Arabidopsis thaliana: one gene and its partner. The protein of the gene in region 1 interacts with the protein of each later gene in a pairwise test. Each region holds a gene or a part of one and is shown in the gene's direction. Other genes may lie near its edges. The genes, in order: RPT3 and AT2G03430.

What was found.
Region 2: the proteins of RPT3 (region 1) and AT2G03430 interact in a two-hybrid assay, tested with the Arabidopsis thaliana proteins (one large-scale study listed by BioGRID).

The regions. Positions count from the first base shown.
Region 1 is NC_003076.8:23,567,192-23,572,467, forward strand, and holds RPT3 (regulatory particle triple-A ATPase 3), read left to right. Parts: upstream 1-1,860; 5' UTR 1,861-1,963; coding exon 1,964-2,428; intron 2,429-2,533; coding exon 2,534-2,764; intron 2,765-2,846; coding exon 2,847-3,005; intron 3,006-3,105; coding exon 3,106-3,258; intron 3,259-3,383; coding exon 3,384-3,467; intron 3,468-3,790; coding exon 3,791-3,925; 3' UTR 3,926-4,663; downstream 4,664-5,276. Other genes in the region: AT5G58280 (AP2/B3-like transcriptional factor family protein), read left to right, coding at 147-347, 426-524, 605-669, 743-902, 998-1,204, 1,291-1,479. UniProt on the Arabidopsis thaliana protein: The 26S proteasome is involved in the ATP-dependent degradation of ubiquitinated proteins. The regulatory (or ATPase) complex confers ATP dependency and substrate specificity to the 26S complex.
Region 2 is NC_003071.7:1,035,316-1,039,756, reverse strand, and holds AT2G03430 (Ankyrin repeat family protein), read left to right. Parts: upstream 1-2,081; 5' UTR 2,082-2,220; coding exon 2,221-2,403; intron 2,404-2,637; coding exon 2,638-2,770; intron 2,771-3,015; coding exon 3,016-3,140; intron 3,141-3,215; coding exon 3,216-3,362; intron 3,363-3,430; coding exon 3,431-3,565; 3' UTR 3,566-3,749; downstream 3,750-4,441. Other genes in the region: NRP1 (nodulin-related protein 1), read left to right, coding at 1-348; AT2G03420 (uncharacterized protein), read left to right, coding at 3,820-4,006, 4,102-4,191, 4,272-4,368.

The DNA.
Region 1 (5,276 bases):
AGTAAACTTACGATAAAAAAATGATCAATTTTATTAGTTAAAGCCCAAATAGGCCCAACTAGTTATTAATTAATTAACAAGAAGAAGTCCGTGATTTCGAAATTCAAACGAAGCGCCATTTCTTTCTCCTCCTAGGAAACTCTGCAATGGCCATGGCCTATGAGGAAGCTCGCAAGCTCCGTCTTCAAGAGAATCACAAGCGATTTCAAGTTACCCTTCATCGTTACCGCGTTTCTTCTTCTCCTCCTTCTCTGATTCGTTTATCAATTTTGATTATTGAATCTCAGGATTTAGGAATTTCCCAGATTTCTAAGACTCTGACTCAGATTACAAAGAAAACGCCTCAGGTTTCGTGTTTTTTCCTTCCATTTCTGCTTCATTCCTAGTCCAATTTTGTAGCTTTACCACAATTTCAGCTTCTTCAGCAGCGTAATCACAAACCCATCGATAAAGCCCTCTTAGCTACTGCTGAACCAAGACGCTCTTCCCGTGTTCGTACCGTAATTTCTTCCTATCGCGATGATGTAATTTTCCCAGCTTTCTCTTACTTCTGTAATAGATTTTTCACAGCAATCAATCAACCCAATCCCTTGTCTCTTTTCAGGTCGTCGTAGACACTGGTCGTACTTCGAATCTGAGGAGATCGCGACATAGCTCTACATGGGCGACGTAAGTGCCCTGCTCCACAATTTTGCCCTAAAAAACTATCCTTTCATCTGATCAATTAGTTAAAATTCATCAGCTACATTTCTCGACCTCTCCATGAGTGCAAGTTTGCATCTTATGAAGAAAAGGTTGGAGCATTCAAGGCTGCAGAGAAGTTCCAGAGGAGCCTTAAATCTCCACATCCTTACTTTGTGAAATCTATGGTTCGCTCCCATGTTTACAGTTGCTTTTGGCTGGTACGTTCGTTCACAACACTTGTGTGTGTTTCTTCTTCAAGGATTTCGTGTTAGTACCTTACTTGACCTACATGGGTTTGCTTGCAAATTTCAAGGGGCTTCCTTCAAGATTCTGTGCAGACAATTTTCCTGAGGAAACTATGGAAATAGAACTAGAGGATGAAGAAGGCGAAGTGTATGAAGCAGTGTACATTGGTAGAAGAGCTGGACTCAGTGGTGGTTGGAAAAGGTTTGCTCTTGATCATAAATTGGATGATGGTGATGCTCTACTCTTTGAATTGGTTGAACCAAAGAAGTTCAAGGTATGTATGTGTCTTGAACAAGAGTCATGTGGTTGGAGTTAGTTGACATTCTCACATGTTGATTATAAAATGTTTGCTTGGTGCAGATCTATGTGTTTAAAGGAAATGAGAACGCTAATCTTACAAGCGCCAGAAAGAGAGGCAGAGCAACGACGCCAAGTGAAGAAGAAGAAGAAGAAGAAGATAAGGATGTTGAAGAATCAGGTGATGAGGAACACAGCTCAAGAGCCACTAAGAGATCATCCGTAAGGTTACTAAGGAAGAGGAAAGCATAAGAGAGCTTTCTTTTGTCTACATGCCCCATATATTTTTTTGGTTTTTGAGTGGGCTGCTAATACTACTAATACTAATGGCATATTTGTAAGTTTATCAACCCAAGGTAAACTTTGTTTTTTTCAATTTGAAAGTAGAACTGAAACTCTGATGAGCGGCTTTGGTTCGGAAATTTAAATTGTTTCCTCTCAGTTTTGGTTACTAGGCGATGATGAGCTATATACTTCTGATGATACCATTTAGACCAACTCCGTCACAAAATAAACAAATTAAAATGGAGAGAGTAAACGGGCTATTAAATATCAAAACTGGGCCTTACTATGACAAAAGGCCCATTTAATCTATTTTCCTTTTATTTAGATGAGTCGGCTCACAAATTAACATTTCTTTTCCTCTACTCCAAAGATATCTCGGTTCGCAAAAGTCTATTTAATTTCATAGCAATCTCACTTTTCTCTTCCCCCACCCTCAAAGATCTCTCAAAGAATGGCTTCCGCGGCTGTTGCATCGATGGTTCTTGACCCTAAAGCATCACCGGCCTTGATGGATCTATCCACCGCAGACGAAGAAGATCTCTATGGCCGCCTCAAATCGCTTGAACGACAACTAGAGTTCACCGATATCCAAGAAGAATATGTGAAAGACGAGCAAAAGAATCTCAAACGAGAGCTGTTACGAGCACAAGAAGAGGTCAAACGAATTCAATCCGTGCCTTTGGTGATAGGTCAGTTCATGGAGATGGTAGATCAGAACAACGGCATCGTCGGATCTACTACTGGCTCCAATTACTATGTCAGAATTCTCAGCACAATCAATAGAGAACTCTTAAAGCCTTCTGCTTCCGTCGCTCTTCACCGTCACTCCAACGCCCTTGTTGATGTTTTGCCTCCGGAGGCTGATTCTAGCATCTCCCTTCTCAGCCAATCTGAGAAGCCTGACGTCTCCTACAATGTAATGTTTCCTTTTTTCCAAATCTCGACTCTGTTTTCTGAATTAAAGTTAGGGTTTTTGAAACGATCTTTGGTTTCTTATGTGGTGCTTTATCTTTTTGTGTAGGATATTGGAGGATGCGATATTCAGAAACAGGAAATTCGTGAGGCTGTTGAATTGCCTCTTACCCACCACGAGCTTTACAAACAGATTGGTATTGACCCACCTCGTGGAGTCTTGCTCTATGGACCTCCTGGTACTGGAAAGACTATGTTGGCTAAGGCTGTTGCCAATCACACAACTGCTGCCTTCATTAGGGTTGTTGGATCCGAGTTTGTGCAAAAGTATCTCGGCGAGGTATTAAAAATCATAGCTTTATTGAAGGTTTAGGTCCTATTGAGCGATTCTATTTGGTGACTAACTGGTTTTTTAATTGCAGGGACCTCGTATGGTTCGTGATGTCTTCCGTCTTGCCAAGGAAAATGCTCCAGCTATCATCTTCATTGATGAGGTAGATGCCATCGCTACTGCTAGGTTTGATGCTCAAACAGGAGCCGATAGGGAAGTTCAGCGTATTCTCATGGAGCTTCTTAATCAGGTGAGAACAAATAATGAATTTTAGTTGTAATTCAGATCTTATGTTGTAGAATAATGGATTTTAGTTGTGTCCTTAACTTATTGTGTTGAATTCGATGTAGATGGATGGATTTGACCAGACCGTGAATGTCAAGGTCATAATGGCAACAAACAGGGCAGACACTCTAGATCCTGCTCTCTTACGTCCTGGAAGACTTGATCGTAAGATTGAGTTCCCCCTTCCTGATAGACGTCAAAAGAGGCTTGTTTTCCAGGTAAGTTAATTACTACAAGCACTTAAATAACTAGTTAAAGAGATATGAAACCAAATGTTTTCTCAAAAGAAAGTTTTGACTGATATCTTAGTTTCTGTCTTATTGATTGGTTTTTCCTTGTGTAGGTATGCACCTCCAAAATGAACCTTAGCGATGAGGTTGACTTGGAAGACTATGTTTCACGGCCTGATAAAATTAGCGCTGCTGAGGTTAGTTTATTTTGCTTACCATTCTATTCTTCCCGCTATAGTTTACTTTTACCATGATATATCCTCCAGTGTTTCTGGGTCACCACCTAATGATGTTCTTCAAAATATGCACTTGAGCATAATCATACTGTTTCAAGCATTATGTATGAATGTTAGCTGAGTCGTTTGTTAATCATTGTCCTGAACTGAATTGTTGAGAAATCAATTGTTGGCAGTAATATGGTTTGATTTTATCATGTACATGGGAATTGTTCCTAAAAAGATTGCATGTAATGATGATAGTTATTAATGACACTATTTTGATTTTATGTTGAACAATGCAGATAGCAGCAATTTGCCAGGAAGCTGGTATGCATGCGGTGCGAAAGAACAGATATGTGATACTACCTAAGGATTTCGAGAAGGGCTACCGCGCAAATGTTAAGAAGCCAGACACGGACTTTGAGTTTTACAAGTGAAGAGAAAGCAGAAGTGGAACCAGATTATGGCTGTTGTTAAAATTCCAGTGTGTTTTGAGAATTATTAAGGACATGGAATCAAATTTGCAGTTAAATTAAGAACTAAGTTGCATCTCCTAATTTCTGTAACTCGAGTTCACATTTGTTTTTAGTCTATCAGCTTTTTACAGTTTAATGTATAAGAAAAACTGGGGATGGTGTCCTTAGAATTGCCAGAGCATGGTAATAATTATGTCTCCTCTGATTAAAAAGACAACAAAAATAGTGATGATATTAGGAGCACGCTGCACTGCTCAATGTTCATAGAAAACTTCAGACTTCAATAATGCCTAAATGTGTTGGATCTTGTTTTGGAGTTGGTGATAGATGATGAAATGACCAGTATTACTATTACATAGTATCCGCAAATCAAGAATGATGCAAATCAAGAGAAAACAGTAGCAAGAGTGGTTGGACAGGTAAGAACTATTACCATATCTAAATGATTACTTTAAAAATAACAACTTGGATCAAGATGGTTTTTGTTTTCATGTATTTGTCATTTTGCTATCTCATAAGAATCTTAAGCTTGGTCAGTCTCTGGGTCTCTCTACATTAGCGTTTGTTGCGGTGTTTACACACCAATATGATTTGATCTAAAGACTCCTTTTGAAGACTGTCTTACCCTTAACGAATACGCCTCTTTTGTTTAACTTCACCACACTCTCTCTCTCTTTCTTCTTCTTCTTCTTCTTCTTCTTCTTCTTCTTCTTCTTCTTCTCCACTAGTCCCCACATACATTGCCTTTTCTTCTTTCTTCTCTTTCACCATTTCAAGATTGTGTTATAGTCCGCTCAATGCAGTAGAGTGCAGAGGTCTGAGCGCTCCATCTGCATAAGTTCTTCTTCCTCTATTGCTGAGTTCTTCAGTGCCCACAATTTTCTTACTTCGCTAGCTTACCTCTCTACTCCCAGGTTCTCTTTCTCTCTTCTTCTTCTTTTTGGTTTTTGTATTTTTCCTTTTAACTTTCTGTAATTGTCTGTCTCTCATTGTTGGGAATTATACTTAAAAATCGCCATTTTCTCCGGCTAGGTGGGTAGGAAACTTTCAAGACTTTAGATACAGGCTAGTGACGTGGTATATTAGTTCCAATTCGCTGGCTACACGTTGTTTGTTCAACAACTCCGATAAAAATCAGACACTCAAAACTCATCTTTATTTACTTAGTGACATTGTCCACATGATGGACAGACCTCTGCTTCTTTCTCTAGTGACAATATCTTTTGGCAAAAGGAGTCTGCTTTTCTTTGCTCATCAAAGTTTTGTGTTAAAGTTTGGCTCTTTAGCTTTATTCCTTTTGCTTTTTTTTTTG
Region 2 (4,441 bases), on another chromosome or scaffold:
AAGATCGTAGCCGAAGCTGCTCAAGCCGCTGCTCGTCACGAGTCAGACAAGCTTGACAAAGCCAAAGTCGCCGGAGCCACCGCTGATATCTTAGACGCCGCTTCTAGATACGGTAAGCTCGATGAAAAGAGCGGTGTTGGTCAGTACCTTGAAAAGGCTGAACAATATCTTCACAAGTACGAAACTTCCCACTCTCACTCCTCCACCGGTGGAACTGGAAGCCACGGTAATGTTGGAGGACACGGTGGTGGAGCTGGAGCACCGGCGGCTAAGAAAGAAGATGAGAAGTCCGGAGGTGGTCATGGGTTTGGAGATTATGCTAAGATGGCTCAAGGTTTTATGAAGTGAGTAATGTTTTAGTTTCTAAAAATAATTATGTTAGTAATTATCTTCTATAATTACTGTTTTAGTAAGCTGTTGTTTTTTCTGAATTATTATTAACTGTTGGATTTGTCATTTGTGTATGATGGAGGAAATTATGATGTTAAAGATCATGTATCATGTTGTTGACCACTCGAGATTGCGTTAATCAAATATTTGTATAATTAGAACCGAACTTTAAGTTATGGGAAGTAATACTAATTAATATCGAATTTAAATGGACCGTCTAAAAATAAATAAACTAATTATTATCCTGAGAAGAAGGAGGAAAAACACAAGAAAATGATAATTTTTAGGTTTTGGCAAATAAATTAAACCTAATGTATCGAACTGAAATAGGAAAGCAAAATAAAGTCAATCGAAACAAAAATTTAAAAATAATTACTAAACATTATAATCAAAAGAATCGAAACTTGAATTACTACGGAACCAAAATATTTTGGATAATCAAAAATATCCGAAATCTATAAATACATTTTTGCAGCCATTTTAACAAATAAATCTTAGAGTTGGACTTATTTACAACTCAATGCCATTAGCATTAATTTTTTTTTTCCGAAATAATTAATTTTACTTTAAATTCTTAATTTAAATTGTCAACCACATTATCAATCAAATTTAATCCAAACAAACTTCACATCAATCCCTTAAAATTAGCATAAACGTATTTGTTAACAATATTTTAAAACAAAGTTTTTTGTTTAAATAAATATTATTCTTACTAAACGTTTTTTGTTTAAATAAATAAATCATGTATTTGAACTTATTTACAATGTCATGCTACTGAAATTAATTATTTAGAAAGAAAAATATTTAATTAACGATTTAAATCTTCTAAATCTTTGCTTTTAGAGTTATTATGTCATTATCTAAAAAGCAAAAATATTTTAAAATATTTATATATTTAAACTTTATAAAACATTATTAATATTTAAACTTATAAAAAGTTTAATATATCAAAAATTTTAACATCATTATATAATATATAGTTTAAAAAAATCTCAAAAAAATTTCCGTCATATTTTGTGATTAAAATTTTTAAAAATGAACATATATTAACCAATTGGCGAAAAAATGTGTGGGTTCAACATCCCGCATCGACTAAAATATTTAGACAATGATTCATAAATAAGATCAACATTAATAAAATAAATGGTTTTTTTTGCAGAACGGGTTTTGCGAGACGGGTTTGGGAGGACGTTACTTAATAACAGTTGTAAACTATAAAATAAAATATTTTATAGATAGATACAATTTACAAATTTTTATATATACTAACTTTAAAAAATAAATTGTCCCCGCGGTATACCGCGGGTTAAAATCTAGTATAATTATATTTTCTAAAATATTAATTATTTTTGGATCAAATAAAATAATTAAAAATACCTGAAAATAGATAAAGTAGTAAAAATACTCAAAAATAACCGAAAATGTCCGAAAATATCCAAAAATAACCGAATATCCGAATATATTCAAAGCAAAATAACCGAATGAATACTAAATTTTGAAACCAAAAGAACCAAAACCGATAGCGAAACAAAATTTCAAAATAAGCGAATGAATACTAAATTTTAGAAAAATAAACTGAAAACCGAATGAATACGAACTGAAAGCGGATAGATAAACCAAACGCAAGTCCTGAGATTGTGTAAAAGGCCCATAAACGGGCCCAATATGCGAATCCATTTTGTTTTCTTGTTGGGAAATTAATCTTTTTCTGCTTATTTTAGGAGAAATTGTTTTAATTTTAATTTAGGGTCTCTTGTCTTTGATCTTTTGTACACTTTCTCTGGATTTTCTGAATTCGAACTTTGGAAGAAGAAGAAGCTTTGATCAATCATGGAAATTGCAACCGATACAGCAAAGCAGATGAGAGACGAAGAGTTGTTCAAAGCAGCGGAATGGGGAGATTCATCGTTGTTCATGTCATTATCTGAAGAACAGCTCTCTAAATCTCTCAATTTCAGAAACGAAGATGGTCGCTCTCTCCTCCATGTCGCTGCTTCCTTCGGCCATTCTCAAGTTTGTTCCTTTCTCTTTTCAATCATATTAAGAACTAATCTGTGGTTAGATAACCTCTTTGATTACTATAGCTGCAGTAAATAGGTTGTTTAACTGATGAGAAAGCCTTAAGGGAAGTTTTTGAGTCTCGCTTTGAAAACCACACGAATCTGCGTTGTTTGGGTTCTTGAGATTAGTGTGTTTTAGGAACAGTGTCAGTATGTGTAAAAATGTTTATGGATGTGGGATTTGCAGATAGTGAAGTTGTTATCAAGTTCAGATGAAGCAAAGACTGTAATCAATAGCAAGGATGATGAAGGATGGGCTCCTTTGCATTCCGCTGCTAGCATCGGTAATGCTGAGCTCGTTGAGGTGCTTTTGACCAGAGGTATGTTACATAATCTTATGTGCCTTATTGTTGTTGAAACGGTGGTAAAATCTTGTTTTGCTATCATAAAGCTGTAATCTTTATCAGTCCTGAGTAGTTGATCTCTTAATATCTAATAGTCCTCCATTGGAATTGGACATATAAGTTCCTACTGTGAAGTAGTTCTTCCAGTGTTTAGCTCTAACTTCAATTCATTGCATGTATGAGAAGATGGATACATTTGATGACATTTTCTTTGTGTTTAGGTGCTGATGTCAATGCCAAAAATAACGGTGGTCGCACTGCTCTTCACTATGCTGCTAGCAAAGGCCGGTTGGAGATTGCTCAGCTTTTATTAACACACGGTGCAAAGATTAACATCACAGACAAGGTTTTGTAGCTTCTTAATGTCTTGTTGCTTGTGATCATCAACACACAAACAAACTTTTTTTTGTGTGGCTTTTAGGTTGGTTGCACTCCGCTTCACAGGGCAGCAAGCGTGGGAAAGTTAGAAGTTTGTGAATTTCTTATTGAAGAAGGAGCAGAGATCGATGCTACGGATAAAATGGGTCAAACTGCACTCATGCATTCAGTTATCTGCGATGACAAACAGGTAAAATTTTCAATCTAATCAACCTTAAAAGCAACATTTCTTTAAAGTTAAAAGTTTCCATGGATCAGGTTGCGTTCCTGCTTATAAGACATGGTGCAGATGTGGATGTAGAAGACAAGGAAGGCTACACTGTTCTAGGCCGAGCTACCAATGAATTCCGACCTGCACTTATCGATGCTGCTAAGGCCATGCTTGAAGGATAAAATGACTCTGGATTACTTTAAAACTTACTAACTCTGAGAGTTGTTTAGTTACTTAAAAGGATTTTTCTTTACTGTATCATGTTTGCAAAATGTTTCTGCCTTATCAATTCATGTTCTGTCTTTAGAAATTTTCTCAAAAGCAATTTTGGAAACAAGTGAGAAAAAAGTTTTTTTTTTTGTTTGGTTAAAAATTATATATATCCTTCTTATCTCCTAAGAGTCACTTACCCTCCTCACAAAAATCTAAAGGCAAAATGATGCAAACAAAAATCTCTTCTTTCTCTCGACCAAGCTTTAGTCTCTATGAACCAAGAGTAATTCATCATCCTCGTATCTCCATGGCTCTATCATCATCAGCACCATCCCCGTTTCACCATCTTCTCTGCAAGTCCACCTTCCCTCTCGCTGCCTCACTCACCCTTCTCCTCTCTCCTTGTACCGGTAACTACACTACTACTCAATACTTTTCCTGTGATTCAATGTATATGCGTGTCATCATCATCAGCATCATATGTATATGTATGGATGGTCCTCAGCTGAAGCAGGCTTAATGTCGGGATCTCCCGGTATAGAATCAGTTCCAGGTCCTGAATTACCAAAAATCGAGTTCCTTGACCGTTTCAATGGTACCAATCTTTCAATTTCTTGAATTCAAGAACAAAAAAACTGTGTTTCTCTGCTCTAAGAAAAAGCTTGCTAATTGCAGCAAAAAACCAGAAGTTCTACGCAGAGAACGATGCCAGATTCAAAGATTCTCCACTTCTCAAGAAATTACTTGAGAATTCCAAACTCAACAAAGAAAAGTAAGTTACTTTACACACACCCTTTTGGTCTTTTATGATGTAACAGAGCCAACAATGTGCAAATCTTGAAACT